6 separate regions of the Mus musculus genome follow, and all the other regions are reported to be linked to region 3. The links are microRNA targets in miRTarBase. Many come from high-throughput screens and were not tested one by one. Region 3 holds a microRNA gene; each other region holds the end of a gene's coding sequence.

Region 1 (5,073 bases), not on the chromosome of region 3:
GAGTCAGAACAACAGAGCAAATAGCTTTGCTTTCTTCTTGGAGCACCCCTGGTGAAACGTTCCATGTTTTTACACAGGGTCACATCTTCGTCTTTGGATATTCCCCCAACAATTTCACAAGTGTCAGTCTTCAGAAGGGGCTTGTCTGGGCATCTCATTTCGGGGGCCATAGCCCCTCTCCTTTTATCTGGTCACAGTTCCACTCTGTAGTTATCACCTGGTGTTGTGTTTTGTTTCTCTTCCAGAGTGAAAGAATTGAAAAAGGCCAAGGAACTTGAAGACATACAGCAGCATCCCTTAGCAATGTGACATTGCTTCTCAGACTCTTTCCATTTCTGTTTTTAGCAGAGACATGCAACAACAACACACACGCTCGTGCACACATACACACACACACACACACACATATATACACACACACACACAAAATCCCTCTGCAGTTCTGGGGAGTCAGCTGCAGGATTTTAACGAGAATGTTTGGTCATTACATTTGCACTCTCATGGACAACTTTTAATTTGATCAGCAAGACATCTTGGAACTCAAATCTTCTGTTGGATCACAGGAAAAACAAGACACCAGGAGGAACTGGAAGGGCTTCATCTTAGGAGGAAGCCGCTTTCCTTGTCATTAGGGCTGTATTCAAACATCGTGTGGAACTGTACAAATATTTATACCAAAAATATAGATAAGAACAGGCGGGGCGACGTCAGCCACACGAGGAGCGCTGCGCCTGCACCTGCGGTGACTTCCAAGAAGCTGAATCCTTGGTTCTCAGTGGAGGGCTTAGATCACCCGAGTTGTGCGAGTCCGCCTGTCCTCATCTCCTTCACTGTTCTCTTTTGAGTTTCTGTTTCGTTTTTTTTTCTTTCTTTCTGTCTGTCGGTTTGTCCGTCCGTTCGTTTGAATCTCTACAGCACACTTAATGCAACTTTTAAAATCTGCAGGTTTTTAATGTCTTGTGAAAATTTGCAGAGGGGTGGGTGTGTGGTAAACGGGTAATGCACGGGAAATAATGAGAAACAGCTTACGGGATTTAAATTCATTTTCTTGCCCCCCCCCCCACCTCCCAGGAATCTGCAAGGATAGTGGCCATCCTGTCCCTTCTCATGGTCAGCACTTTAGTTTGTCTGCCCCACTATCTTGCAGTGAGGATTACTTAAGACTTGGTAACGCATGTAGCCTTTTTTAGTAACCTTGGAAACCTTAGTAATTCCAAGAGATCATAAACCTTGCCTGGACATTTGCCACCTAAACGACCAGTGTGGTGCTGCATTCTGGCCAGTAAATTCCATGTTTTGGCTCTATCTCATCCAAACAGAGTGGTTTCTGTGTACATACAAAAGGTAGAAATGGAGAAAAAAAGCGAGAAAATATTTGAAAGGGGTTATATTAATTGCTAAATATTTTATTCACAGAGGTCAATAACATGGCAAGATGAAATTATTTGTATAGTTTTGTCTGAGCGAGAACAATGTGGATGTATTGTTTGTATATATTGTATATATTAAAACAAAGATGTGCATGAATTCAAGAAAAAGAACAAAAGCAAAGCATTAGTGGCTATGGTCTGTAAAATGAAACAAAAAAAACTTTATTTCACTATAAGAGTACTTTATTTTAAATGTTCTGTAGAAGAACATTTTGCTAAAGCATGACCTGCAAAAAATAAAAAGGAGCTACTGTATTTAGACTTAGGAAAAGAGGCAGAGTAGCATTACTTTAAAAAAAAAAAAAAAAGGATATGTTTACATTTAATTTTGGCTATCAGGAGTTTATTTTATTTTATTTAAAAAAAATTTTTTTGCCAAAGGTGCCAAGTAATGTGAATGCTAATATTGCTTAAAAAAATTAAGTTACTTTTGCAAAATAGATAATCATAAGATGAATCCTTAGAGACCTTAACACCATCCACTCACACCAACAAAGAACATTAGGATGATCAATGTTTAGGAAAAAAAATTAGGACAAAATGAGAAAAATATCACATTTTCATATCTCCTGCTGGAAATTAAAAAACAAACAACAACAAAAACCACGAATAAAAATTGCTCACTCGACAAAATAAAAGGGAAACCCGGTGGAGATTGGTGTTGACGGAAGGGTGCCACGGTACAGTACTTTCCAGGTAATGAGGAGCCAAAGAAATCTGATGCTTTCAAAGCTAACTTATGAGAGAACCAATTTTGCATTTGCTAATGCCAGTTTAAAACTCCCAGGTTAAGTGTGAGAATTGGTTGGTATGAGATTTTCTTTTTTTAAAAAACAAAAAACAAAAAACAAACCAACATGGTTCTGGCTGCCAACCGTGAGTTAAAACTCGAGGCTTGTTGTGAAGCCTAAAAATATTCACAAATGAGCTTTAAGCTGGTGTCTTCAGAAGGAAGGTAGAAACAAAAGGATTGTGGTTAAAAATAATAATAATAATAAAAACTGGGGTCAGTGCTCTCGGTGCCTTTTCTATAATTGTACTTGTTTTTTAATTACTTCCTTTCACTGCCAACCTCAAATTACTGTACAGTACATGTCTTTCTGCTTGTGATCAGCTTGGAACAGCGACAGCCCCACAGCTAGGAGCCACCTGTACATTTGTAAGCTGACCCGACCCAATTTTGTTTTTACATGTGTGGGTTATGTTGCAGCTGTTGCAATCCTCGACCCCCCTACCCCCGCCCCCACCACACCTATTATTTTACACAATTTGACCTGTCTGAGGACACTGAGTAATTTACATAAACAATTGTATTCATAACAGGGAATAGAATGTAAAGCCAGCTCTTTTCAGAATATCCTATCTCAATCATGGATCTGGATACATTTACTCCATTGCTTATGGTTCAGATGACCAATCATTTGACCAGAGCAATGACCTCAGTGGATTTGCTTCAACCCTCACATTTATTTTTTAGTGTTTCACATGCCACATTAGCTGAATATGTTAGAAAACTCTGGAAGATAAAGACTTACATAGAATTAGGAAGTTCTTATGGAGGAGATAGAAGTAGGGTCAAAACCTACCAGTACAACTGTGAATTCTAGGTGAGGTCGAAGCATACTTCCACTGACACAAAGCATTTATGACCACCTTTTTTGATTGTAACTCTTAATTTTGAATATAAGGTGATAGGCGCAGCTTTCTTGGATAATCTGAATTCCCAAGTGCCAGGAGTAGGATTTCATGATAAAATTAATAGCTAATCTTATTCTGTCTCCTGAAGATTTAATTGCTATCCTTGTTACCCATTCAAAATCAGCTGTACTGTGTGAATGAAATAAAGACATTAAGATGAACCCCTTTCTGGCTGCACGGTCGCTTATGGCAGTTCCACACAGTAGTTGGCGCCCAACGGGGGGTCCCTGAGACTTGCATGTAAAACTAGTCTAGATGTCTCCTTTTTTGTAAGTTTTATTTTTGTAATTGTGCATGTAAAGCATCATTGAGTCAATGGATCTGTTGAAGAACTCAGCTGCTGGAAACCATGCAAAATGTTTTGAATTGCCCTTAAAAATATGGAAAATGTTTTCTGAATGCTTTATATTCTTTCTGCTGTAAATTAAAAATGAAGAAAATTTCCCCATATTATCTGTGTTTTGCTTTAACCTGATCTGAAATCCAAGGTGTTGACAGTGAGGTCATAGTTAGAACTGGAAGTATTATTTTACTTTCCACATGCAGTGTTCTCCCACCCAGCCTTTCACTTAGAGCCACTTTCCCAAAGCACTTCCTTTCTACCTACCTTGCCTGGTTCCTTAACACATCGATTTATTTTAAATGCAGTTACTTGGAAGATAAGGATCTCAATTTTAAATTAACCTTTCTCATGTAGCTCAGAGTACCCATGAATTCCCAACGCTTAAGCTTAAGGGTGACATTGAACCTCTTAACCTTTTACCTAAAAGCTTTCGTTGCGATTATGGGTGTGCTAACAGCCTGGGTCTACGTGGTTCTGGGGATCAAACCCAGGGCTGCATATTAGACAAGCACTCTGCCAACTAAGTACACTCTTTAGCTCTACTAGGTAGTTGGCTGGGTTGTGTGTGTGTGGTTTTTGTGTGTGTTTTTTTTTTTTTTAAGACCCTTTCCAGCTTACCTCACAAGGCCTCCCTGCTAGGTATTCTTCGTCACTGTTCCAGTCCTCTTGGCTGTAGAGTTCTGTTATCTCTCTGGTAGGACTTCACTTCTGATCTACCTCAGAACTAGTGCCAGTTTCACACTCTGAACCTCCCACCAGGAGCCCACTGCATTTTCTGTTCACTGTTTAAGCCCGGCCCCACACTCTCCATTTCCTCCTATCCAGAATGGTTTTTATAACTACTACTCAACCTAGTACCCACTGGTGTGGCGCTCTTTAATTGCAACACACACCTTTGGGAGTTACCATGCTGAAGTGGAAAAATACCTTAGTGTATTTCATTGAGTGAATCCACCAACGGAGTTTATTTAGTCTGTTTTAGACCTTGTTGGGATTCTTTTCCACATAACTACTCACCCCCGTTGAACAAAAATTGAGTGTCGTCTCCGCAAGGGCCAGGGAATTACAGAAATGAAGAACCTTACAGTTCTCTAAGCCAAGGCTCCCTTTAGGGATTTAATATCCGTGCAATGGCAAATATTTGTCATGTGAGAACCTGAGAGGAGACTTCTCCCAAATCCTGTGGCCAAGACTCCACATGGACTTCCTACTGCCTCTTTCTCAGAAAAGAACTTTGTCTCCTCAGGACCACTAGATTATTCTGGAACGTTAGGCACGTCCGCTGTTTCTAACATGAGAGACAAGGTATGCGGGCTCACAGTAATGTAAAACGTACCCATTCTCACTCTAAACTGCCTTTCCAGGGCTAGAGACAGGGCAGCAGAGACACTGCAGGGAGCTGCTGTGATTCCTTGGCGGCGAAGAGCCCAGCCCAAAGGCGCAGGCGCCGCGCTCTAGCCCCGCCCACTTGTCCACCGAGAACGCCCGCCCACTCGTCAGCGCCGGCGCTACTTCAGCGCAAGCTCTGGCCCCTCCCACTCCGCTCTGCTCCGAGGTGACAGCCCGCGCTGCGCCCGGCTCGATTCCTATCCCGCCCATTTC
Region 2 (5,073 bases), not on the chromosome of region 3:
AAGAGCAGTCGGGTGCTCTTACCCACTGAGTCGTCTCACCAGCCCACAATTAGTTTTTTTAATTTGTGTGTGTGTGTGCAGGGAGGGGGAGGTGTACATTCATGTTGAGTCTGGAATTCAACCTCAAATGTCATTCCCCAGGCAACAGTCATTCACTTTGTTATCTGAGACACATTCTCTCCTGTACTTGGAGCTGGCAAGGAGGCGAGGCTGTGGGTCAGTGAGCCCTAAGGATCCTCCTGTCTCCATGTCTACAGCAGTAACATTAAAGAGTGTGCCATCATGCCTAACTTTTTTAGTTTTCAGTGTTGTTGGGTGGGGCACTGCTGTTTTGAGACTAGGCCTTACTATGTAGCCCTGGCTCGTCTGGAACTCACTAAGTAGTCCAGGTTGATCTCAAACTCAGAGATCCACCTGCCTCTGCCTTCTGAGTGCTAGGATTAAAGGCGTGCTCCACCATACCTGGTTCATGCTGAGTTTTTTCTTTCTTTCTTTCTTTTTTTTTTTTAATGGTGGGTTCTGGGGATTAAGTCCAGGTCCTCATGTTTGTAACTAAACTATATCTCTCAGACATGCCCTTCTTTTATTTGTTTAATGGATAGGTTTTTAAATTTTGATTTCCTTTTTCTACTTTTTTTTGAGTAAGGGTGTCTATGTAGCTCTGGCTGTCCTTTAACCCGCTGCATACCCGCTGGCCCGGAACTCACAGAGATCTGCCTGCTTCTGCCTTTGTGAGTGCTTGGGAATCTTTAATTTGAAAAAATACATTTGAACAGGCTCTCCTGTGGCCCAGATTAGAATACAATTTGCTAAGTAGTCAAAAACCATCTTGAACTTCTGATCTTCTTGCTGGGATTACAGGCATATGCTACCACACCCTGCTTCTGTGATGCTGGGTATCAAACCTAGACTTCACACTTGCCAGGCAAGCACTTTACAAACTGAGCTACATCTCCAGCCTCCTCCCTGGCAACCTATTTATTTTTTAACAGTGTTTCACTGTGTAAGGCAGGTTGCTTTCCTTCCACCTGAGCTACCTTAGTTAAGGTTTCTATTGCTGCACAGAGGCACCATGATCACAGCACCTTTTATAAAGGGAAACAATTTAATTGGGTCTGGCTTATAGTTCAGGTTTAGTCCATCATCATCACGGTGGGAAGCATGGCAGTAGGCAGATGTGGTGCTGGAGAAGTGGCTGAGAGTTCTACATGTGGATCTGCAGGCAGCAGGAAGACAGTGACAATGGAACTGGATTAAGCATCTGAAACCTCAAAGCTCACCCCTAGTGACACATTTCCTCTAACAAGACCACATCTCCTAATGCCATTCCCTATAAGCCTATGTGGGCCATTTTTATTCAAATCACTACACTAAGTGCTAAGTTACTTAAAAGCATTTGTCACCTCACCTAGACCTCTTGGTTTTTTTTTTTTCTCCACTCCTACCTTTGTCAAAAGTAGAGGTGGCTCAGTAGTTAAGAATACTTAAACGTTTAGAGGACTGAGGTTCAGTTCCCAGCACCCACATGGTAGCTCATAACCATCTTTAACTCCAGTCCCAGAGAACTCAATGCCCTCTTCTGGCTTTCTTGTACACAAGGCACACATATGGTACAGATATACACACAGGCAAAATACATAAAACTGCAGTTTAGGCTAATTTGGGCTAAAGAGTTAAATCCTGTCTAAAAGGGAAAAAACTGATTTCTTTAAAAAACAAACAAACAAACAAAATGATACCCGTAGTTTTAGAAATCAAGTCATGCAGGGCATGGTGGCACACGCCTTTAATCCCAGTACTCGGGAGGCAGAGGCAGAGGCAGGCAGATTTCTGAGTTCCAGGCTAGCCTGAACTACAAAGTGAGTTCCAGGACAGCCAGGGCTATACAGAGAAATCCTGTCTCAAAAAACCAACCAAACAAACAAACAAAAAAAAAGAAGTCAAGTCATACAAAGTTTTTTTTTTTTTTTTTTGAGACAGGGTTTCTCTATATAGCCCTGGCTGTCCTGGGACTCACTTTGTAGACTAGGCTGGCCATGGTGCACATGTCAGAAATCCACCTGCCTCTGCCTCCCAAGTGCTGGGATTAAAGGCGTACACCACCACGTCTGGCTTCATACAAAGTTTTGAAAACAAGAGATCCTGTAACCATTGTCATCCCTGGAATTCCCAGCCCCACTGGAGCCGTTTCAACTCTTAGCTCTGGCCTCAGCCTTGGCTTCCCTCTGGATTGCAGCAGAGTCAGCCTACTCTGACATCACATAGCTATGGAAGTGTAGGGACAGAGGCAGTGTGCCTCCAGAACTCCTGAGCCTTTCTAGGCTTCAGAAGCACAGAAAATCTTGCCTTCTGTAGCTGGCTGTGTTTGTTTGTTTTTTAAATAGAAAGGAAAAAAACCATTTTATTTATTTTTCTTTTTTGGTTGGTGACTCCATCCTTCCATGTTTTTTTTTTCTTTTCTTTTTTTCAAGACAGGGTTTCTCTGTGTAGTCCAAGCAGTCTTGGAACTCACTCTGTAGACCAGGCTGGCCTGGAACTCGGAGATCTGCCTGGCTCTGCCTCCAAAGTGCTGATATTAAAGGCATGCGCCACCACTGCCCAGCTAAAGATTTTATTTATTTTATGTATGTGAGTACACTGTAGCTGTCTTCAGACATACCAGAAGAGGGCATTGGGTCCCATTACAGATGGTTGTGAGCCACCATGTGGTTGCTGGGAATTGAACTCAGGACCTCTGGAAGAGCAGTCAGTGTTCTTAACCACTGAGCCATCTCTCCAGCTCCAGGCAATCTGATGTCCTCTTTTGCCCTCCGTGGGTACCTGCACACATATGCGTGTGTATGTGTATATATGTGTGTGTGTGTCTGTTTGTGTATGGACATGTGCACCATGGTGAGAAGGTGGCGGTCAAAGAACAACTTTTGGGAGTTGGTTCTCTCTTTCCACCGTGGGATTTGATGATAGCCTCAGGCTTGTGTGTCAAGTGCTTTTTATCCAATGAGCCAACATCTTCTTAAGTTCAACTTCTTGGAAGTTTAACTGAGATTTCCCACTTTGTGAGGGAATTTCCATTTGCTTCTGTTTTGAATCTGAGTTAGGGTTTAATGTAGCCTAGGCTGGCCTTGAATCACTATGAAGTTATGGTTATCCTGAACCTGAATTTTCCGTTTCTACCTTCCAAATACTGAGGAATGCTAAAAGTGGGAGATAGCTGGGCAGTGATGGCGCACACGCCTTTAATCCCAGCGCTTGGGAGGCAGAGGCAGGCAGATTTCTGACTTCAAGGCCAGCCTGAGTTCCAGGACAGCTAGGGCTACATAGAGAAACCCTGTCTCGAAAAAAAAAATAAAAACAAAAAACTCTAAAATAAAAAAAATCAACAAGATATCACTCAAGGCAGAAGCAGAGACAGGAGAACTAGGTTTGAGGTCATAGGCCATGAGGCCAGCCAGGATCACAGAAGACCCTGTCTCCAAACCAAAGCCAATGGAGCAGTTTTTACTTTAGTAGGGTGGTTTCTGATGTTGTAAGTGGGAATCCTTTCATATTGGGTTAATGGCCTCAGAAAATCCTCCTGTTCACTGCTAAAATGAAGTAACATGAAGTGAGGCAGTCTGGTTCAGTTTACCAGTACATATCTCAAACAATGAACATGAAAGTGATGTTTACATCCACACCCAGTTCTCTCACTGATTACCTATGCCAGAAGACCCGGAGACGAATTTTACGAGTACAAGAATATAAATACGTACAATTCTCTTATAAAGAAATGTCTTGATTTTATTTCCCTTATGAAATAAAAGTGCTGTGAAAACTTGAAAGGTGAATGGTAGTTAGTTTTCTAACATTAAATCACCTTGCTCTTTTAAAATCATCACATTCTATGAACAGTTGCCTGATGGCATAGCAGAATACAAGAAGTATTAATTAGTAGGTTCTAGATCAAGGAAGACCATTCTATAAAGGATAATTATTTAAGACATTTATACATAGTGACTATTACCAGGAGAACAAACCTTACGGTAAACAGGCTTCTTGACAGTTATTAATACAAAAAGGACTGAAGACCTCAGTTCCTACAAAAAGCACAACGTTGAATTTGTGGTATACTTAACAAAGCAAAATGAGAAGGCTCTAGGGAGAAGTTCAACTTTATTTAAACAAATCTGGCTTGCACTTTTAGCTGAGATAGTGGAAATGGAACCTGGAGCACTGTGAACAACAAGTGTTCACCACATCCCTCCCTAGTCCTGCACAGAAAGTGTTTCAGCATGTCAAACTGGGTGATATTTATGTCATTCAAGTGAACAGAAATATCTCAGCTTTTGTCTTTCAGATAGAATTTTAGAAAATATCCGGCAAGAAAATATTTTGAAAGTGCTTTCTTTTGATTTCTTTGGTATAATTTGGTCATTTTGATAGTAAGATATTACTTTCTGATAGTAAGTACTTTAACCATTTATCAACAAAAAGGCATATATAGAAAAACATAACTAAAGAATAAATTATGTTGCCAACCTTCTAGAAAAAAGACTCTAGTATTTACCTGTGTTTCTGTGGCACAGATAGTTCTGCTGCTTATAAGAATGCTAATTTTATATGTATGAAATGTTACATACAATATCCTGTTGTTTCTGATTATTACAATAGCTGTTCATTTAAGAGGCAAGTTTTAGCTAGAAAAAGAATCATTTCAAATTGCATAAAGTTACACCCTTTTTTTGTGCCTTCTGACTCAGCGATCATGAGAATTTCATGTCACACAATGTTAAGAACTGGTTTGCGGAGACAATTATTAACTCTCCTGAAGCATCTTCTCAATTTCTTTATCCCAGTTTTCATCTCGCTTCTCAGACTCTGCTACCACTTCATATTCCTGAAGCTCCTGTTGTAGCTCCTTTTCCCAATCAGTAGAATCTTCTATAGGAAACAAAGGGAGAGACAAAAAAAGGTGCTCATTGAACTACAATTCACTCAATTTGTAGGTACCTAACAAAGGCCTAGCCTGGGGCTGGAGAGATGGCTCGGTGGTTATGAGTGCTGACTGCTCTTCTAGAGGACCTGGTTCAAAGG
Region 3 (5,073 bases):
CTGGGCTGTGGCTAGAGATTCTGTGTCCTAATTACAGCCCAGAGGGGGATGAAAGGGAGCGTTGCTGCCAGGCTGAATGGCAGGCCAAGTGGCTGCATCTGCTTTGCTCCACCAGCCCCAGGCTCCCAGCCTCAGGATCTGGGCAAGGTCCTGGTCGCAGGACAAGGGTATCTGCACCCTACTGTGAGTGAGGGTGTGAATTGTCCTTCTCGGAACCCCTTATCTCATAAGCGGAGTAACTACCGACAGGGAATAGAAGCACGGAGTCGAGGCAAGTGGAGTTCATGGAGTGGATGCCTGCCAGCAGGCGCAACAGCACTCCTGTACTGTGCATGTAGATCTGCATGCACAAGTAACATGCCAGCCTTGGGGGCGGCCTCATAAGCTGACTGTGGGAGAAAATGCAAGGTAGGTTTCAGTGGGCTCTAGGGCACATGTGGATAGTTTCTGTAGATTCAGATATGGGAACTCAGCGCAGGATTTTTGTCCCTCTGTGGTGATTTATGAAAATAGGAGTATGAAAAATGGAGTCTCCAACCTTTGGTGGAGATGTCTAAGTGCTGGCCGTCCCCCTGGATGCTTGCTTTTCTAAGTTACTGTAGGCACCCTTAGGACTCAGGTTTCAAACCACAACTTGGAGACCAAGGAACTTCTGAGCTAGGTGAACTGCTGAAGACAAAAAAATGCCGGGTGGGCAGTTCTCAGCACCATGGCCAGGGCCTGTCAGCAACCATGGGTTTTCTAGCTCTAGATCCACTGCCAGCTCTTTCTTGGGACTTAGGGACAGTAGGCTAGAGGCAAGAGATTGATATAGGAGGAAGTGTAGCGAACTTAGACCCGGCCCAGAGTACAGTGTGAAGATGAAAAGACAATCAGAGCCAAAGTCAGCTGGGTCCTCCGTGGGTAGGCTCAGCCCCAAACAATGTGTCCCTGCTGGGTCTGACCTGGAGGCTTCCCATCCTGTACATGGGTGTGGCTGCTAGCTCAAGGAGACTACCTACTGCCCTGTCCCACCAGAACATCCTCCAAAGGGCAAGCAATGGATGACCCAAGGCCCACACTCACTGTGGCCTCCTTCCTGAGAGAGAGCTGATAACACCTTCATGCACCCGGACACTGGAGACAGAGCCCACTCCAGCATGGTGTAGGAACCTCTGCCTGGCTGGCCTCACCTGCTTTGGCAAGGGACATGGTTTCCTAAAGGACAACAGAAATGTGGCTTTGGTGGCACTAACCTGCCTTACCTGAACAGAAAGCAAAATCAAGCTTTTTAGTCTTTCTCCCAGACTCCTAACCAGCCCTAGGCTCTCAGGCCAGGGCTCCAGCGTGCTATAACCATGAACCTCACAGCCGAGGAGCCATTTTGTGCAGCGTCCTGCTTAAATCACACTCTGAGAACGCTCCTTCTCTCTTTCCCCTCTCTCCTGCTCCCCACTCCCCCTCTTTCTTCTCCCTCCCCCTCTTTCAGGTGAATCGTGCTTGCACAGTTCCCTCTGCCTCTTCAGTTCCACCCATCCAAGCTCAGGGTGGCCCAGAAGGACTAGAGCGCAGGAGGCCGCCCACACTGACAGACACACAGCTAAATGGAAGAGGGTGTAGATTCCAGAGGCTGTAGGAGGAGAAGAAAGGGACACCTCCTAATTATGAAAAATCCTTTAGAATTAACCAGGCAGGCCCAAATTCGAGGTTCCTTCCTGGGCCTTGCTGTCGGTAGGTCGGCCCCTCTGTTTCTCTGATGCTTTTCAGTCTAGCCTGTGTCCTTTTTCTGAGACAAGGATTTGTCTGTGAGGTGGCATTTGGAAAGAGGTGTGTAACTGCTAGCTGGCTTGCTCACTGGCTGACAGGGATGGCAGTGGGGATGCAGCCCACCTTGGATTTGGGGTCAAGATAAAAAATAGGACGAATCTAAAACAAGCACGGGGTACAGAGGTGTGGTGCCAAAGCCTGGTATTAAACAAAAAAAATCCAGATGTGTCATTTAAGGGAGACTGCTTTAGATACCTTTAGAAAAATTCCCTGATCCCTTCCAAATCACCCACTTTGGGCCTATTCTTTGAACCCAGCCTTATGGGATTTGCTGATGGAGAGTGTGTAAGGGGTGCCCCCCCCCCCGCCTCACCAAAACAGATCTGAATGAGTACCCCCACCAAATCTGGGCTGCTTTGGGGATGCCTTAGCACAGAGAGTCTTTGGGACTCCCTCATAGTCACTGCTGGAATCCTGGAACCCGCTACCCCCCACCCCCACTCTATTGTTAAGTCAATCTCTAGATCTTGGATTTAAGATCTTTCTAGGGATGACTGGGGGGGGGGGAAGGAGATATCGAATTTTTCATATTTAATCCTTTGCCTCCCAGGAATGGGTGAAGGGGGTGAATCAGGGCTCATAGTGGGAGGGGTGTACAGGAGCAAGGAAGACAGGATGGGTTTCAGGTGAGCAACCTCTAAACCACCACGTTTAGGAGACTGAGACGGGACTTCAGTTTGGTGGCCAGGCTCAATTCTACTGTGAAACCTCAAAATGTCAATTCTTTTGCCCTGTAAAGTCACTTGGAGTAAGTGGGCTAGGGTGTGCTGTGAGCAGAAAGATGGCAGGAGCTGATTATTTTTATGGGAGGTGAATAGGAGCCCAATTACGGCCTTGGATATCTTTAAGGCGCAGGGGCACAATTGATTACATATCCTTGGCTGTACTAGGAATGGTCAGAGGGAAAGGGCTAACAATCTGGTGCCGACATTTAGGACCTGGTTTGAGCGAAGCATGCCATGGGAATCCCTACAAGTCAGGCAATATATATGGGATACATTGATCTAGACACCCACTCCTTCCCTTAATCCCCAGTCTCTACCGCGGTGTCTGTACAGTGCTGGGCAAGAAAAAAAAGGAAGAGAGACCTTAAGGATAAAGTGACCGGTTCGCAGCCTCTCCTGCGCTCACTTGGTTGCCTTGGAGAGACCTCGACCTTAAACCTCTTCCCTCAAACTCTAACTCTGGTGGTCTGCGGTGGCTGCCAGGCACCTAAGACGTTGCTGGGAGGTCAGAGAGGTTTGAGAGAAAGGCCAGACTGTGTGCATCCAAGCAAGCAGGCCTAAGGCTTCTGAGGGCAGAAGAGGCGCTCCCCTGTCCTCGCGGCGCAGAAGCCGTGAACGCCGAGGCCATTGTAAGGCTGGGTGGTGCCGAGCGCGGGAAGGGGGCTGGGATTTGAATGGAAGCCCGTGATAGGCCGATCCCCCGACTGACGTCACTTCCCCGCGGGGCGATTAGCCTGCGAGAGGAGGGCTGATGGTCCAGTGCGCTGGGGGCCGCCAGGGCGCCCGAGGCTGCCCAAGCGCAGAGCGCCGGTTACCCGAGTGCGCCCCGGGACGGCGTCGAAGCGGGCCGCGCACGCACTGGACGGGGAACTGGGGATGGAGAAATCGCGAGGGCGAGGGAGGAAGGGAGCTGGGCGATCCGGGTGGCGGGAGTCCGTGTGTCTGTGTGTCTGTCGGTCCCCTCTGGCTCTCCGCGTGCGCCCGGGGCTGCGGGAGCGGAGTCCGCTCAGGCCCCCGCGCCGGGTCGGCGGCGGCACGTGGGGCCCACAGCGCGGCAGCGGTGCCGGCGAATGGGAGGCCCGTTTCTCTCTTTGGTTATCTAGCTGTATGAGTGCCACAGAGCCGTCATAAAGCTAGATAACCGAAAGTAGAAATGACTCTCACAACTTCTGCGTGCGATGGCCCGGCCGGCCGCCCTGGCCACAGGAGCCAGAGGAGCCCAGAGAAGCCCACGCCACCCAGGGATTCCAGCTCGACGGAGCGGCCACGCCGGGACCAGGTATCCGACCTCGGCTCTCCTGGGGACACTTGCCGTGTCCTGGAGGCATTCCCTTCACCTCCTCCTCGGTCCCTGCACCCCCATCACCATTTCCCAGCGCCGAGGCTGGAACCCCGAAGTGGAGTGGGTTGGGGGCAGGGAACGGGCTGGGGTTGCAGAGGGGTCGCTGGCGGGGAAGGCGCCAGCCTTTGCCTTCACCCCATAAATCAGGCTAGAACAATCCACGCCCTGAGCTGCAGACTAGGATTTTGGGATGCAAATGCGATGAGAAAGAGAACGGAGAGAGGAAGGGAGAGAGGAAGGGAGAGAGAGAGGAAGGGGGAGAGAGAGAGAGAGAGAGAGAGAGAGAGAGAGAGAGAGAGAGAGAGAGAGAGAGGAGAGAGAGAGAGAGACCGGTAGGCAGTGTGTAGGGGGAGTAAAAGGGTGGGCAGGGGGCTGCCCTGCCGCTAACAATGCAGCCTTTATCGAATTATTCGACGAGTCAGCCCCTGAGCACCATTAGCATACGGCTGGGGGGTTGCTGGAGCTTCGCCCCTCGGTGAGGTCAAGTTCTTGATAATTTGATCACTTTTCACCGGCTCTGGCAGCTGCCTTTGTGTGCAGTTGGGGGGTCTGTGTGCAGCGTGAAGCGGAGCAGAACTGGCGGGGAGTGTACTCAATGGCAAGGGGCCTAGGCGGGGGGCCTCCCGCCCCGACCGACCGGCCCTGCCCTGCATACAAACCAAGAGCAGGCTGCTGGGCGGGAGAGACGTAGCCCAGATCCTCTAAACCTCTATAGTTCTGGTCGGACGGCTGGGGCCGGAGCCTCCCCAACTTCCCCAACTGGTTAAGGGGGAAGCCAGGCTCTCTGGAGCTCCTCTCCTTCCCGCCCCAATAAATGGCAACATAAGATGTATTACAATGTCTAGCAAATAAAAAAGCAATTGGGGGAAAAAATCTGAATTCCGTTCCCATGGCAACCCAATGCTGCACACCGGCCACTCAAGCTCCAGGTCCCTCTTAGCTGGGCGCTGCGAGTGGGGCGTGCCAATGTTCTGTGTCCGTGGTTCTTAGCCCCACAAGGAGCGGAAGGTCCCTTTGAGGTTTCTCTGCCTTCAGGTCCCTCTCCTTCCTGCCACTCCCTTTACTCTTTCCTTATCTTGAAGTTTGGGGCCCCCTGCAACTTAGGAAACCATTAGGGCTCCCGCGTGGTGGATGTAGACCCAGCTATGGACCCTATCAAGTGTAGGGAAGAAAGGATCCAAAGTCAGTTCACATACCTTA
Region 4 (5,073 bases), not on the chromosome of region 3:
CCTGGCCTCTCGAACTTTGAGCAATTGTACTGCCTCTGCCTCCTAAATGACTGGAATTACAGGTATAGTAAAATATACCAGGAGCTGAAGGACAACATGGGCTACTTGAGACCTTGTCTCAAAAAAAAAAAAAAAAAAAAAAAAAAAAGTTTCAGGATTTTGGTAATTAAATGCTAGGCGTGGGATGTTTTGTCTATGGAAGGGAAAAGAACAGGGCAGGGGAGGGAGTTGAGTGTGATAGTTTAAAGACAACTTGCCTTCAGGACCAGGGCTGAGTCTCAGTTTGCCTCTGGGCTCTGTGTCAGACACAGAATGGATAAAGCTCTCAATGCAGGCAGCTGCCATATCCACATAACAGAGTAGGGCTGCTGACGTTGTAGGAACAGAGGGGCAGCTGTGACACTCTCCTGATGATCACAGGATCTTAGACTAAAGAATGTCTTCAAATGTCTACTATCAGGGCTGGAGAGATGACTCAGTGGTTAAGAGCACTGACTGCTCTTCCAGAGGTTCTGAGTTCAATTCCCAGCAGCCACATGGTGTTTCACAACCATCTGAAATGGAATTCAGTGCCTTCTTCTGGTGTGTCTGAAGACTACTACAGTGTACTCATAAATAAAATAAATCTTAAGCCATGCGTGGTGGCTCAGCACTTGGGAGGCAGAGGCAGGTGGATTTCTGAGTTCGAGGCCTGCCTGGTCTACAAAGTGAGTTCCAGGACAGCCAGAGCTATACAGAGAAACCCTGTCTTGAAAAAACAAAAATAAATAAAAAAATCTTAAAAAAAAAAAAAAAAGTCTGCTATCTCTGCACTGGCTTCTACCAGGCAATCAACCACTGGAAAGAAGTCAGAGAGAGGCCTAAAATTCTTGGGCCCTCTGGGTTTGTTGAGTGGCCAGATAATATATGGGTAGTAATATAAGGGTAGTATGTCCCAACCTGAGAATGCAGGTCAGATCACCTGAACATCTACAAGCCCTTGAGGGCCCAGCTGATGACTTAGTTCTGTTTCCCAAGGCCTCTCTTACTTCTTCTAAGAGCAGCTGCCATTGCTGAAAAGAGGTGTTAGTTTGGACAACCTAGTATCAAGGTCCTGTAAGACCCACACTGAGTATTACACATTTTCTGGGCCATTGGAAATGCATTGAAATATCCTTCAGGCAGGAGTCTTACTCAGAGAAGATGCTCATCAACTATAGGTTGAGTTATTGGAGGTTTTGACTATTCCTAAGAGTTCTCAGAACCAAGCAACTCCCTTTTGGAGGGACACACCTGGCAGGGTGTCCAGTAGGGTGGACAGCAGATTGACTCCAAGACTGATTGACCTGGAGGGTGAACTGAAAGAGCTGATGACAGCCAAGCGGGAAGCAGAATGGTGTCCACGGCTATGGGGATGGTAGCTTTGGTTGGTACAGGATTGTGCTGGGCAGAGAAGGGTCTTGTAAATCACAATAGCAGATGTTTACACAGCATGGAAGCTGACTGCTCATCAACTGGTACTACCTACAGCCCATCACTTTCCTCAGGAGAGGAGGCCTGTCTATAGGTGTCTGAAGAGCCAAGAAGCTAGGCAATTCCTGGGAGTCCTAGTCAGAGAGGAGCTGCTGTGGAGAATGCCTGGCTCCTGAGGGCCTTGCAACAGCTCTCCACAGAGGCAGGTTAGGGGGCGTGAGATTGGGAGGATCTGGTTAGACTTGGGACCTAGGAAACACATCATGCACTTTGAGGCCACTCTGAGTTAACCTGCACTGGGAGGAGCCAGAGCAAAGTCCTAGCTGTTGGCAGTAGGCTTGTACACTTGGAACTTAGGGTCTGAGTTCACACACTTAGCTGCCTAGGACAAACTCAGAGCTGTAAGATTAAGTATCTTGGTCCAAAGAGAGCTTCAGAAGCCCTTATTTGATAAACAGCATCGCTGAGAGCATCTAATAAACACTTTAAGGATGAGCTAGGAGACTGGTTGGCTCTGCAGTTTGGAGAAAAGGCTTCACCCTGCTCAGGCCCCGACTGCTGGGGCCAGGAAGAGTTCTGGGTAAGGATTGGATCAACAATTTGGCTGCCTAGTACAAGGAGCTGCTATTATCAGGTTAGTGTCCCACAGAAGGTTGGTTCTGGGGTCCGCCAGTCTTTGGCTCCGATGGATCTAGTAAAAATGGCGGACATGGCCCAATTTATGGTCAGCTGTCAGCAACAAGACAAAAAGGTATCTTTTGGCCCCCTGCAATAAAGGTTCATCACACTATTCACCACTGGTGGACCCCAAGGCAAGATTGGCAGGGCTCCAGCAAAGTAGCCGATTACTACTCGCTACACAACTGGTACACCCACTTTCCTGAACAGCTTCATCAGAGGGTGGTTTTCCAAAGCTAGCATAAGGCTGAAAAGGGAAGTTTTTAGACTGACTCCTGTAAAGGCAGGATGGGGTTTTGAGGTTACTAGGTACCTTTGGTTGTGCTGAAGACAGACAAGTAATCCTGCCTCCCTGTGGTCACTACAGAGAGCTACACAAGAGCCCTGTTAAGGCTTAGTGGCTTTTCAGGGTTCTGCTACAAGCTTCATGGTTCAGTGGTCCTGCCCTTTCTCCCTAGGTTCGTGGGTGCTCTAGAGAGCACAGTACTGGAGATGTGCAGAGGCTCGGTTTCCTGTTCCAACTAGCCTCACTAACAGGCATAGGGAACTCTCTCACCAGGTCGACCTACACATGCAAGTTGTTCAGAGCCAGATCAGTTTGATCTTCCAGCAGGGCTCCATACTGAGGGCAAGTCCCAGCCAGGGGAAATTTAGATATGCTGACTCAGGCAATCCCTCTATGCCCAGGGCCAGCACTGTGACCCATGGGCCTGGGGTTTGTTCTATATTCACATCTCCACAGGAAGCCAGGAGCAAAGACAAAACAGGGCTGTTAGCAGCAGACAACCTTGTAGCCAGGACATCTGATCTGAGGGACATCCACCCTCCACTGGATTCTTACCATTCCCTACAAAACCCCAACACAAGCTGCACAGACCACACAATCCCAGACTCCTTCAGGGGTGTTTATTTCCCAGTCAGAAGAGAAGCAGGGACAGGCTCCTCTGCCTGTTGAGGCTGGGCCTGGCAGACACCACACAGGGACTGGGGATAGGGAGGGGAGGCACAGGAGACAGCTCCCAACTGTGTGAACTTGGTCCCACATTTGTCCTGGCTGGGTCCAGGGAGGGTCGGCCCAGGGATGGTGGCACCAAGAACCAGGGCAGAGGCATCAGGCCAGCTGGCCCAAATGGAGGCAATAAATACTGACAGGCCAGGCACGAGGTTCAGGCCACGTGGCCCAGGTGAGACAAGTAAGGCTCGGCTGGCTTTGTCCCTCAGGGGCTCTCTGTGGGGACAGGGGCTCCGAGTACTGCCTACAAGGGACAGAGAAGGCAGAGGAATGAGGCACCCTACCCTGCCTCCTAGATGGGGCTGGAGGCATCGAGTTTTGGCAATTGACCCTCCCCTAGCTACTGGAGCCACCCCCAACCCTGGCCACGGGGAGGGGAAGAGCTGGCCAGGCTCGCAGGAAGCAACAGCAGCGCACCCCAGGCCTCCCTTGGGTGGGTCACTGGGATGGGGATGGCAGACGAGGCGAGGACAGGGAGAGCACATGCTCATGCAGACAGGGAGTTAAGAGTTAGCGACGGCCCCCAGCACACGTTCCACATGTTAAGGCATCATGGTTAGACAGTGACTGACAGTGATGGATGACCTGGCCAGGGAGTGGTGGGACTAGAGGACAGATAGCCCAGCCCTTCCCCATGCTGCGACAGAGACAAGGTGGGCTGGACAACCCTGACAGTGTTCTGTTCCATTCTAGAAGCCAGGGCCTGAGGAAGGGAAGACAGAGGGAACCTGGAGGGACACAGCAGATTGGAGGCCTGGGCTGGAACCCCTCCCCCACTGCACAGGCAGAAGCAGCAATGTGACACTGGAGACCACAGGGGCCTGCGGGCAGGAGGTGGAGGAGGGGCAGACAGGAGAGCTGACTGCCTGAGTGGACTAGGGAGGAATGACGGGTGAGGGAGGTCCTGTCAGCACTTTGGTTTGGGGTAGGTAGGGGGTTAGGGTGGGGCATGTCGGTCCTTCTGTCTGTCCGTCGCCCTGCCCGTCTCCCAGCTGGAGCTCAGTCCTTCCACTCCTTTTTGATGGTGAGATTCCACTCCCAGGACAGGTGGTCAGTCTTGTCGTCATCTGTGAAGCGCGACTTGATGTTGTAACTGCCCCGAGCAAGCATGCCTTTGGGAGCCTCCTCCATGGGTGTCAGGAACTCATACTCCTCGGCCCTCGGCCCATAGCTCCCGACCATGTAGTCAGTCTTGTCAACTGAGGGACAGGAGAGGCAGGATTACTGGTGCTGCACGCCCCTCCCAGGCCCAATGGCTCCCCACTCTATGGCCCGCCCACTCACTTTTGACCCCTTTCCTGTATGTGTGTTGGATGTACTTCATGCCGGACACGATCTCTCTGTTCACCTGTGGGGACACAGAGCCAGGGTCAGCTGCCTTCCCAGGCTTGCCCCTCTGCCCCTTGTTTCCAGGCCTCTCAAAGCCCCCACCTTACCCGGAAAGAGATTTTTATCCGGTACTCCACACCTTCCTTCAAGACAAACGACTGTTTCTTGAAGCTCTCCAGATCACCTGTATTGAGGAGGAGTCTCCGCTGACTGCTTGCTTGAAGGGCTCTCCACCCTGCTACATTCACTCTCCCCAGCCCCTTCCCTGACACAAAGCAGAGCTTCGGCAAGCCCCTAGCTGCACTTCCCCTCTTCTCCACCAGAGGGCATCAGTGCAGAAAATTATTTTTAGGGGTAGAGGCAAGATGCCAGCTGGCCCCACCCAGGGATTCTAATACCCACTCACCTGTCAGGTCCAGTTCCAGAGGGCCTGGGGCAGTGCTGCATACCAAGGTCAGTCGAGTCACAATGACATTGGGGACGTTGGGGTCTGCAGAGTGAGAGTTAAGAGTCAGAGTCCCATCCCTTAAGATTTTTCTTTTTAAACTCACTCCTTGGAAGAGTGGTCTGGAAAGAGACTGGGCACAGGTTTAGATGACATC
Region 5 (5,073 bases), not on the chromosome of region 3:
CTGGATTGTTAATCTGATTCCACAGATATGAATCAACACAGTAGTTTGTTGAATCTGCCTTATGGCAGAAACTTAATAGGTCAAGAGTATTTGTTTTTTAAATTTTCCATATTAGTGTAATTTGCAAATTGTAGGCCCTTGTGAACCTTTTGTGTAAGGGAACCAAGTACTTTAGTTTTTCTTTGCCCTAGCTAGCTATATCATTATTTGTTACTTGACTCAGAAATCATGGGAATAATATTTTCTATTTGTTTAAAAACCAGGTTTTTAGGGTCTGGTATATTTGACCCAAATCTCCTATTTCGTCTAAAAATAACTAGCCAATCTATATTGGAACTCCTATAAGTGAATTTTGGGGAAAAAAAAAAAAAAAAAAAAAAAAAACCTCAACATTTCTTTCTTACAGAAAAGAAAAAAGCTGGACTATTTGAACAAATCACTAAAACTCATGGGACAATTATTGGCATTACATCAGGAATTGTCTTGGTCCTTCTCATTATTTCTATTTTAGTACAAGTGAAACAGCCCCGGAAAAAGGTTATGGCTTGCAAAACTGCATTTAATAAAACTGGGTTCCAGGAAGTATTTGATCCTCCTCATTATGAACTATTTTCACTAAGAGAGAAAGAGATTTCTGCAGATCTGGCAGATTTGTCAGAAGAACTTGACAACTACCAGAAGTTGCGGCGCTCCTCCACGGCCTCCCGGTGCATTCACGACCACCACTGTGGATCACAAGCATCCAGTGTGAAACAAAGCAGGACCAACCTCAGTTCCATGGAACTTCCCTTCCGAAATGATTTTGCACAACCACAGCCAATGAAAACATTTAATAGCACCTTCAAAAAAAGCAGCTACACTTTCAAACAAGCTCATGAGTGCCCTGAACAGGCTCTAGAGGACAGAGTGATGGAGGAGATTCCCTGTGAAATTTATGTCAGAGGGCGAGACGATTCTGCACAAGCATCCATATCCATCGACTTTTAATTGCTGACTAAAGGCATTATTGTTAAGTGTGTATGCAGCCTACACCAACACTCATTCTATCTCCGCATCCAATCTTGTTCTATCAAATTTAGAAAGCCCTTCATAACTTATCATAATGCTGATGATTTTATTATCTCAGGCAATCTATATATGTGAAACCAACTAAGAAACTTAAATGTATTCAGTGGAAAGAAGGCATCATCTGTTGCTGGTATCTTAACCTGTAAAACACCACCAGTGCAATAGCAGCTGAGGAGCAGGTCATGCATGTTAAGTCAGGCAGAGCAGCCCGGTGCTGTGAACACCAGGCACTGTGCGTGTCTGCACAGCCCCATCAACTTGATCTCACAGTAAATTTAAAAGTTTTTTCTTTATATTCCTTTTGTCCTTCTTTTTTCTGTTATGTTTTCTTTGCCTGTGGTTTTACCATTTCAGTTTCCTGCAGACGGGGATAATATGTCACTCAATTCAGCATGGCCATGCATTTGCTCCTAAATGAGTGTAATACGGCTAGTACTGTAATAAGTGGCAGTTTAAGATGCAGTCATATTTCATTTCTTCCTGACTGATTTCTACACTGTTGTCTTTAATAACTGCATCTTTAGTTCTGCTTTTCTATGGGAAGTAGGACTTATCACCTTTAATCATGTTTCATCTTAGTTATACTAAAAAAGTAAGAATCCTAGGGTATATTATTACCAGATACACATGAACAGAATTTTGAGAAAGATTAAAAACTTGTAGCAACCTCTGAAGTTTTCCCCACTGGGTCTCAATTCAGTGACAGTAATCAGGGTCCTAGAACTCACCTGTGAGCAGACCTTTAATTATGGCTCCATGCAGAGCTTCTCAGATCTTATTCCCTATCATCTTTCAAAACGATTTCTTTGTTCTCTTGGTATTGGTTTGTCTTGGACATGGCCATGGTTGGTGGAAGCTTAAAGAAATTCTCAGAGAAACTGTGTTAGCCTTTACATAGCTTCTGCTTGAAACAGTGCATTTTTCTACCCATTATCGAGAAGAGCAATTTCAACTTTTTTTTTAAGCTGCACTTTTAACCTTATGTTTTTTAAAGTATATAAAACAATAATTTATAAACACGGTATCAAAACTCATTGTGTTTTTTTAGACTTTTGATATTATTTGATATTGTATAAACTTTATTAGATCAAGATTTAAGACATACAAGACAATTTCTTTAAGTCTTCACAGTAGTGACTTTATATAGAAGAATACTGTGATGGGACTGTACTGTAATTTATTATAAAGACCTTGCTCATGGTGATATGTACATACATTTTTCTTTCTTTTGCTGCTGTGTTAGTTGGTAATAAGTTTTTCACTGTGTGGTATTTATTGTTCTAAATCACAACAGAAATCTTATATTAGAGTATACATTAATTCATGATCCTTCAATTATATTATTTATAGCAGGAATCCTTTGAATAAGATATAGATGAGGAAGAATTCATATATTTAATGATAACCAATAGAGATAATGCCATTTTAAAGAAGTAAATTCTCATTTTCTATATTGAACTAAATTTCCAATGAATGAAAAGTTGAGGTTTCACTAGATTTCATTTATTTTTTTAAGTACTACATAAATCTGATTTCTCAGATTACTAAAAACTTTGACCTTTAGTGTGATGTACTTTCTGACCAAAGTGTGTTTTCTGTATGACATTTTTTTTATTTTTAAAAAGGAAATTATATCAAGAATATTGGGAAAACTTACCCTTGGCATAAGCATGACTTAATTTTTTAAGTCAGTAGATGTTCCTGCTTTGTAAAATAGAACTTGGAAAAGTAAAAGGAATCTCAAAACATAGTAATCACTGAACTATCCAGAGAAAAATTAAATGTTCTTTCAGTAACTATAAGCATTTTATTATGTGACTTAGACCAGCCACCACTCCAACACCATAGTAAATACTTAAATTGATAGCTATGATACCATAGTGAAATAAAAATTAACAATTTTATAAATTATATCCACTATAAAAATAGTTGTCATATTCATCATTAATTTTAAGATTATAGTTTATAGTATGCCTTCATACATCATGATCACTTGTAGGTGTATTTTTATTTTTAACACTATTCTATTTTAAAGGAATTTGAAGGGATTTACAAAACAGTTGTTTGTACAAAATACTGAACATTCCAACCATGTAAATTTGCATGATCTCATGCATCAGCAAGAGAAACTCGGGTGATCATTTGGTTCTAAATTCTCTAACTAGAAAGTTGATCCTTTTCACAGTAGAAAACACTTATATTCAGAGGCTAAAGTGAAAGCCATAAACTTAAGCAGTAACAAATATGAAGTTAAGCTGTCTTATGTGAGTTATTATACCCTACAAAGTACCTGTGTTAAACACACCCTTCAGTGAAAAATGCAAAGCCAGAGGATAGTAAAAATCTCCAGTGCAAGAAAGTACTAAGTACAAACTATATGATACCAACACATTGCTGTCGTTCATCCCAAGTTCACTACAAGCTGTCAGCTCCCAAGTAGCCACAGACTGCAACCTACACATCCCACTGTCTCAAAGACATGGGAATAAACTGTTATTTGTTTGCAGAAGAGAGTTATCAATATAAATATTGAACAAAAACCAAAGGATGTTTACATTTCACATCATGGATCTGAAAGGCTCCCTTAGCTTTGCTTTAGGAGAGTCTTTGTCACTCTCCTACATGCGTTTTGTATCATTGCTAAGCATTAAGGAACTGCAGTCTGCACTGAACATTTCTATACTTTGGATACTACCTAATGATGGTACTTGCTTGGGTCAGGAACATATCAGCTAAGATGAGAAAAGGCTGCTTGTAGTTCCAGGAATAATTAACATTCAGAGATTACACTTTGTTGCAAAATGATGTCTGCCATATGCCCACTTTTATTTACTACAAGTGTTAAGAGAAATGTGCCTGAATCACATTGATTGTGGACAGAAGGAACTTTATTTTGTTCTGTTTAAAGATCCAAGAGAGATGATCTAGTCTAGTTTTGTCAATGAGAAGACAAAACCCTGATGGTGAAGTAGCTCCCCATGGCTCCATCCTCCTAGCCCAGTAACCTTCCTTGGCTTCTTCTCTCCCTGCTTAGCTTTTAAAAGTCACATAATTCCAAACATCAGCCTAGATGTTCCATGCAAAACTTGTTAGTTATGCTTACTTAAAATGTAATGCTGTAATTTTGTATACAAAGGGGGTTTCACCCTCCCTTTTTAATTTATATAACACTGTTATCCCATCAGTTTTGTTACCAGACTTCCTTGGCACCTGCAGAATATGTAATTACTGTGAATTCTTAGTAAACAGTGCTGGTTAGCAGCACATAGGCTGATGCCAGAAAGAAAGCTCTGTGCTTTCACGTTTGTAATTTTTTTAGTTAAAATTAACAATGTACATTATAGAAATTAAATATTGGGTACTGTATCTTGAGTTTTGAGAATTATTTGAGTCTGAACCACTGTAAGAGAACAAGCTGACCTGGGATATCCTTTTAGCTTCCTACACCATCTGTTACCTGTTATGTATCTTTCCTAGTAGTATGTTCTTCTTCACTCGGCTTTTTAAGATACTTTTGACTATATTTCTGAGATTGGTTTACTGGCTCAAAAAGCCTCCAAGCTAATGATGAGGGTGCACGTATAGTGAGTACTACCTAAACTTGTTTTTTTAAGGAGTAGATTTCTATTAGAGACAAACTTCCAGATCATGTAAGAATTCTCATTGCTTAATCCAGATTTGGCACTTTAAAGTACTTAACCCTTGAAATGCAAATAAAAATTCCTCTTTTGATTTTCTTCCTTGCCTCAATTCTGAAGCGTGTAAAAGTAGAACATTTAGCTACTTTGGACATTTATAGGCCCTTCCTAAAACAGTACGAATTCCTATTTGCTGCATTCCAAATAAAATAGTCAGGGTTTATTTGTTAAAGCAACTGTGGATGATTATTATACTTAAAAAGCATATTTTACTTTTAAATTAACAGAAGATGGACTTTTAAAATAAAAACGTTATAGGATGGTTAGCTGACGAGATGGGTCAGGCGTAAAGAGCACTGACCAAGCT
Region 6 (5,073 bases), not on the chromosome of region 3:
TGTGTGTGTATGTGTGTGATATGAAAGTACACGTGGGCTATCTCAGAAAGACGACTATCCTAGAGGGGACAGAGGTAGAGGGGATGAATAGGTCAAAGCATGTGACAAATGGAGCTATCTTAATGAAATTACTGTGTACAGTGGAAATACACCAATAAAAAAAAATTGCCAAAAGACCACTGAGATGACGCAGATGGCTAAGGTACGTATTGTTAAGTCTAGTGACCTAACTTGCACATGACACACAAAAACCATTTCTCAAGGTTGGAGAGATGGCTCAGAGGTTAAGAGCACTGACTGCTCTTCCAGAGGTCCTGAGTTTAACTCCCAGCAACCACATGGTGGCTCACAACCACCTGTAATGAGATCTGACGCCCTCTTCTGGTGTGTCTGAAGTCAGGTACAGTGTACTTATATATCTTTTTAAAAAATGTTTACAAATGCCAACCCCCAATATTTTTAACCTTTTTTTATAAGTTACATGCATAGGCGTTTGTCTGTATGTACACCATTCACGCTTGGTGTCTGTAGAGGCCAGAGGATGGTGTTACATCCCCTAGGATTGGAGACAGTTATGGGCAGCCCTGTGGGTGCTGGGAATCGAACCTGGGTCCTTGCTGTGCAAGAGCAACAATCATGGAACCATCTCTCCAGCCCCAACTTAAAAAAAAAAATTTAAAAACATTAAATGCCGAGCATGAATAGGAAAAGATAAATTTTTTTTGTTGTTTTGGTGGGGGAGAGGTCAAGGCTGGGGTCAGGTGGCCCTAGGAGAATGTGCCACAGGCTAGGCCAATGGGTCTGACAAATTGCTGTCTGCCCAGGGCCTTCTGCTTCCTCTTGAGACCTCATGAGGCCCAGAACAGAGGCTGAAGCCACCCAGCGGGCTCTGACTTCTACCATCAGAGGTCCAGCCTCAGGGAGAGACGAAATGGCTTTGCTCACTGCCCTTCCCAGCCTTCTCCTCACCAGGTCCCTCCAAACCCCACCCTGGGGTGCATTTGTCTGGGCTGTGCCAAGCTTGAACACCCACAAACACATGCTGACTTCTGCTCACACGCTGTGGTTTTGGCCTTCCGGCTCCAGCAGTGAGGCACCTCTTCCAGGAAGTCAGCCCTGCTGACCCCAGAGGGGAGGGAAGTTCAGAGAGGGAAGTTGAAAGCTTCAACCCTACCCTGCCACCCTCTCCCAGACCCAGCTCATCTCGAGAGAGGAAGCTGGGTGCCTTCCTGCTTCTGCACCCTCCCTGACACCCTAGAGCTTGCGTGGTGTGCAGTGTTACTTTTATTGAGAGCTGGGAGGGGAGGAGCATCATTCAGTAGGTAGCCTAGGCTGGCCTTGAACTCTTGGCGATCCTCCTGCCTCTGCCTCCCCATCCCTGAGATTTACAGGCACGAGGCATCAGTGTACCTGGCGTTTTATAAACTTTTGGAAGCCCCAGGACAGGATACCTGACTGAGTAACTGACCAGAGAGGAGGGCTCCTCGCTAAGACCCTCACTGAGGCGGCCAGGCAGCCAGTCATTGGTGGCGCACGCCTTTAATCCCGGCACTTGGGAGGCAGAGGCAGGTGAATCTGAGTTCCAGATCAACCAGGACAGCCAGGCAGGCCTACACAGAGAAATTCTGTCTTGAAAAAAAATCAATTAATCAATCAGTCAGTCAGTCAGTCAGTCAGTCAGTCAGTCAGTCAGCTTGCTTCCCTCCTCAGGAGAAACTCTTCCGCCTGCTCTACCTGGGAGTTGTTGAAGCCACTGGCTAGACCCTTCCTGGGCCCTCCCTACTTGGCTTCTGTTTCTTAGATGATTTTTTTGACCTCACTTGGTAACCCATGCTGGCTCTGATCTCACGACCCTCACAATCCTCCTACCTCAACAGCCTCATGAATAATACTAGGTTAGAGACCTATGCCACCTCACTGGGTTCCCCTCCTGCTCCGTGCTGAGGTTCTGCCCTCCAGGCTCAGGACCACCCTCTGGCTCCAATCAGAATGGGAAGCTCACCCTGGCTGGGGCCCCCAGCTCCATGCCGGCGGCGAGGTTGGTGCCGCTGTACCACACCTCTGTGGCTGCCAGCTCTGTGCCAGCTGCAAGGGGCTTTTGACGACCAGAGCAGAGGGTAGCAGGCCTCTGACTCATCCAGGCAGGAAGGAGGCTCATGGCCCGTGTGCAGACTGCTCCACCGTGACCTTTCCACCCTTACAAATGTCAGCTTCCTCATCTAGAAGTAGGGCCCCAAGCCACCGCCACCAGGCCCTGTATGCCAAGGACCACGGCCACCACTGGGGATCCCCTACTCTGAAAATCCCAGGCAGCTGCCTCAGGCCTTAAAAAGCCAAACTACAAAGCCAAGGTGGGGTCAGGCTCTGGCCAGTCACCCCACAAGGCAAGAGCAGTTACCAGCAAGGGCCATGCCCAGCCCACTTGGGGGTGCTGAACCCACAGCTGTGAGCAATGTCTGGTGGAGTGCAGGACAGATCTCTAATCAAATGGTGTGGGGAAGAAGGCAAAGGACACAGGGGTGGCAGGTAATGAGGACCTAGCCCCGTGAGTCCGGGGTCAGGTCAGAGCAGGCAGCCACCTACAGAAGGGCAGCAGGTGGGCAGCACTAGCCTGCTTCTCTGTAAAGGAGCGGAAACAAGGAGACCACAGGGAAGGAGTGTGGTGAGGATCCCCCGATCAGCCAGCCTCTGTGGCTGGATTTGAGGAAGGTCCCTGAAGAGCCTCAGAAAGATCCGAGTCCTCGCCAGCTCTACCCACGAGTGAGCAGCCTGGGTACTGCCCATCCTCAGAGGATACATGACAGGTGTATCTCATGACAGATGAGAGGCCAGGCAGTGTCAGCAGAGTTGACAGGGAACGAAGATCTAGGGGGGGTGGGGGTCATCCACCTCAGCAGCCTGGCTGCCTGACTTTGGTCATCCTCATTTAGCCTGCTTTGAGCCTCAGTTTTCCTGTCTGGAAAATGGGTCTCTGGCCAGCCCCCACTAGCCACTGCACCTCCTCCAGAAAGGTCTGGACACAGTGAGGTTGACACAGGGCATGACCTGATCAAGCAGCTACCGCCATCAGCCCTGTCCAATTCCCACCTCCCAACATGGTATCAACCCATCAGAGGCACATCTACACCAAGCTGGCCATACTTCATCTATTTTAACACTAGTTTCCCTCCCAAGTCGTAAACTTGTTGAATTCTTCTTCTTTTTTTTTTTTTTTTTTTTTTTTTTTTTTTTTTTTTTTTTTTTTTTGGTTTTTCGAGACAGGGTTTCTCTATATAGTCCTGGCTGTCCTGGAACTCACTCTGTAGACCAGGCTGGCCTCGAACTCAGAAATCCCCCTGCCTCTGCCTCCCGAGTGCTGGGATTAAAGGCGTGCGCCACCATGCCCGGCTAACTTGCTGAATTCTTACCAATTGCCTTCTTCTCTATGTCATGACTGGGTCTCCCCTGCCCTCATCTGAAAGTCCCCTCGAGTTACCTTGATGGACAGGTGGCTTAGCCCCAACTCCCAAGCAAGACTAGGGCCCCTTGGGTTGCTGCAAAGAGCACCTTTATTCAGAGGAAGGACGTCACCATAGCAACAACACATCAATTCCCTGAGAGCTTTTCCCTTATCATCATTAGCTTGCCTAGTTAAGGTCTTTGCAAAAAGAACACAGAATACAGCCCAGGGGTAGGGGAGTGAGGAGTTGGGGGTGGTGGGGGTGAGGTAAGTCTTGGGGTGCTGGGGAGGGTTGGGGGGGAGCAGGATTCCAGATACTGGAAGGCATAAATACAGTACTAAGGCACTCATTGTCCAGCTTTCCAAAGACCAAGCCTGTCTGGCTTCCACTTTTTTCTGATCCACAGAAAAGATAAAATAAGACCCTCTCCAGCCCACCCCAGAAAACAACCACCCCCCACCTCCTTTCACACCCACCCCTCCCCTTTCAAGAAAGAGCACAGTAAAAAAATACTGTCACAATATGTACAGGCACACCCACTATGGGCGACTTTCTCTCTACTTTGGAGAGGAGATAAAATTCATAGCTCTGAACCCCACTTGGTGTGGGAGACAAAGATAGGGCATCAGAGGGTGGGGCTGAAGACTTCGCCTCCACCCTGGAGGGCAGGGGGTGGGGGAGCATTGTTCACCAGAATGGCACCAGGCAGCGCCCGGGCCAGAGCTCACAAGGGGTCCAGGCCTTTACTACCCAAATCAGCTTCCCTAGGACTGGGCACAGCTCAGCTGACAGGGAAGGCTCCAGATAGGTGCTAGCACCCCAACATAAGAGACTGCTACAATCAGCACCCACGGACCCCTGAGTGGAGCCCCAAGGCCTCACCCACCCCCACTGCAGAGATCCAAACACAGATCCCACACAACTGCCCTCGGAGTGGTGCTCAGAGTGTAGTTAGGGACAGACCTGCCACTCCCTGAAGAACACGACTGCCCAGCAGTCTGCAACACGGGTGGGCACGCCACACAAACACACAAATATAGACATACACACACATACACATAGCCCTGAAGAGCCTCGGACACCAAGGCCAGGGCATACAATAAAGGTCCCTGGGCCCTTTGGATACCAGGGGCGCCCAGGGACAGAGTTTCAACCACGACTGCTAGAAGATGGCGGAGCGAGGACACCAGGGTGTGTCTGGGTACAGGTGGCAATGGACAGAGCGGAACCTGTTGGGACAGAGTAAAGACTGGTCTGCGTGGGCTGGGGGTGCCATGGGCCCTCTGGCAGTCCCAACCATGGGGTTCCTGCCACCCCCCCAACCCCGGGGGTACTTGGTGACCCTCTACGAGTTCTTACCTGGATGGGTCAGCTTCCACAGAGAATGGTCCCTTGATGTGCACTGCGTTCCGCTTGTTCTCAAACATGCCATAGCTCAGGGTCACCTGCATTGGGAGCAACAGGATGATGCTGGAGAGGTGGCAGTCCTGCCTGGCTATTCCTGCTGCTGTCCCTTGAGCCAAGGACACTGGCTCGGCCCACCTGGGGATGAAGCCCATGGTGGGGCCTACGACCATAAGGGAGACAGAGCAAGAGTGTCCCCTCAAAGGGCATGATCAGCAACTTAGAAGAA

Evidence for each region. Region 3 holds the annotated microRNA mmu-miR-9-5p (UCUUUGGUUAUCUAGCUGUAUGA, at 3,620-3,642, shown strand). A microRNA usually pairs through its seed, bases 2 to 8, with sites in the 3' UTR of a target mRNA and lowers its output. Matches are read on the target gene's strand: a 7mer-m8 pairs with bases 2 to 8, a 7mer-A1 pairs with bases 2 to 7 and ends in A, and an 8mer does both.
Region 1: the mRNA of Camta1 is a reported target of mmu-miR-9-5p. Seed matches in the 3' UTR shown: 7mer-A1 at 2,138-2,144.
Region 2: miRTarBase lists Syap1 as a target of mmu-miR-9-5p. Seed matches in the 3' UTR shown: 8mer at 4,394-4,401.
Region 4: miRTarBase lists Arhgdia as a target of mmu-miR-9-5p. Seed matches in the 3' UTR shown: 7mer-m8 at 4,056-4,062.
Region 5: miRTarBase lists Neto2 as a target of mmu-miR-9-5p. Seed matches in the 3' UTR shown: 7mer-m8 at 2,649-2,655 and 7mer-m8 at 3,608-3,614.
Region 6: miRTarBase lists Lfng as a target of mmu-miR-9-5p. The part of its 3' UTR that is shown has no 7-base or 8-base seed match.

Annotation. Positions count from the first base shown.
Region 1 is chr4:151,058,028-151,063,100 of GRCm38, reverse strand. It overlaps Camta1 (calmodulin binding transcription activator 1), which reads left to right. Exons shown (of 24, transcript NM_001081557.3): 24 at 246-3,578. The coding sequence ends at 278. It overlaps Gm38529, which reads right to left. Exons shown (of 2, transcript XM_017320565.2): 2 at 4,045-5,073. Among named protein-coding and RNA genes, the nearest start is that of Vamp3, 2.6 kb to the right of the region's middle.
Region 2 is chrX:162,853,089-162,858,161 of GRCm38, forward strand. It overlaps Syap1 (synapse associated protein 1), which reads right to left. Exons shown (of 9, transcript NM_025932.2): 9 at 3,755-4,920. The coding sequence ends at 4,796. Among named protein-coding and RNA genes, the nearest start is that of Gm23901, 5.4 kb to the left of the region's middle.
Region 3 is chr7:79,501,660-79,506,732 of GRCm38, forward strand. Mir9-3 (microRNA 9-3) reads left to right here and starts at 3,605; the gene lies at 3,605-3,694. All of the region lies in intron 1 of Mir9-3hg (Mir9-3 host gene), which reads left to right. It overlaps Gm51285 (predicted gene, 51285), which reads right to left and starts at 3,677; the gene lies at 3,620-3,677.
Region 4 is chr11:120,575,090-120,580,162 of GRCm38, forward strand. It overlaps Arhgdia (Rho GDP dissociation inhibitor (GDI) alpha), which reads right to left. Exons shown (of 6, transcript NM_133796.8): 3 at 4,878-4,961; 4 at 4,579-4,655; 5 at 4,427-4,490; 6 at 3,010-4,341. The coding sequence ends at 4,142. Among named protein-coding and RNA genes, the nearest start is that of Arhgdia, 4.0 kb to the right of the region's middle.
Region 5 is chr8:85,636,450-85,641,522 of GRCm38, reverse strand. Neto2 (neuropilin (NRP) and tolloid (TLL)-like 2) reads left to right here. Exons shown (of 9, transcript NM_001357288.1): 9 at 407-4,805. The coding sequence ends at 987. Among named protein-coding and RNA genes, the nearest start is that of Mir8109, 62 kb to the left of the region's middle.
Region 6 is chr5:140,614,003-140,619,075 of GRCm38, reverse strand. Lfng (LFNG O-fucosylpeptide 3-beta-N-acetylglucosaminyltransferase) reads right to left here. Exons shown (of 8, transcript NM_008494.3): 7 at 4,800-4,885; 8 at 3,531-4,669. The coding sequence ends at 4,603. Among named protein-coding and RNA genes, the nearest start is that of Lfng, 9.2 kb to the right of the region's middle.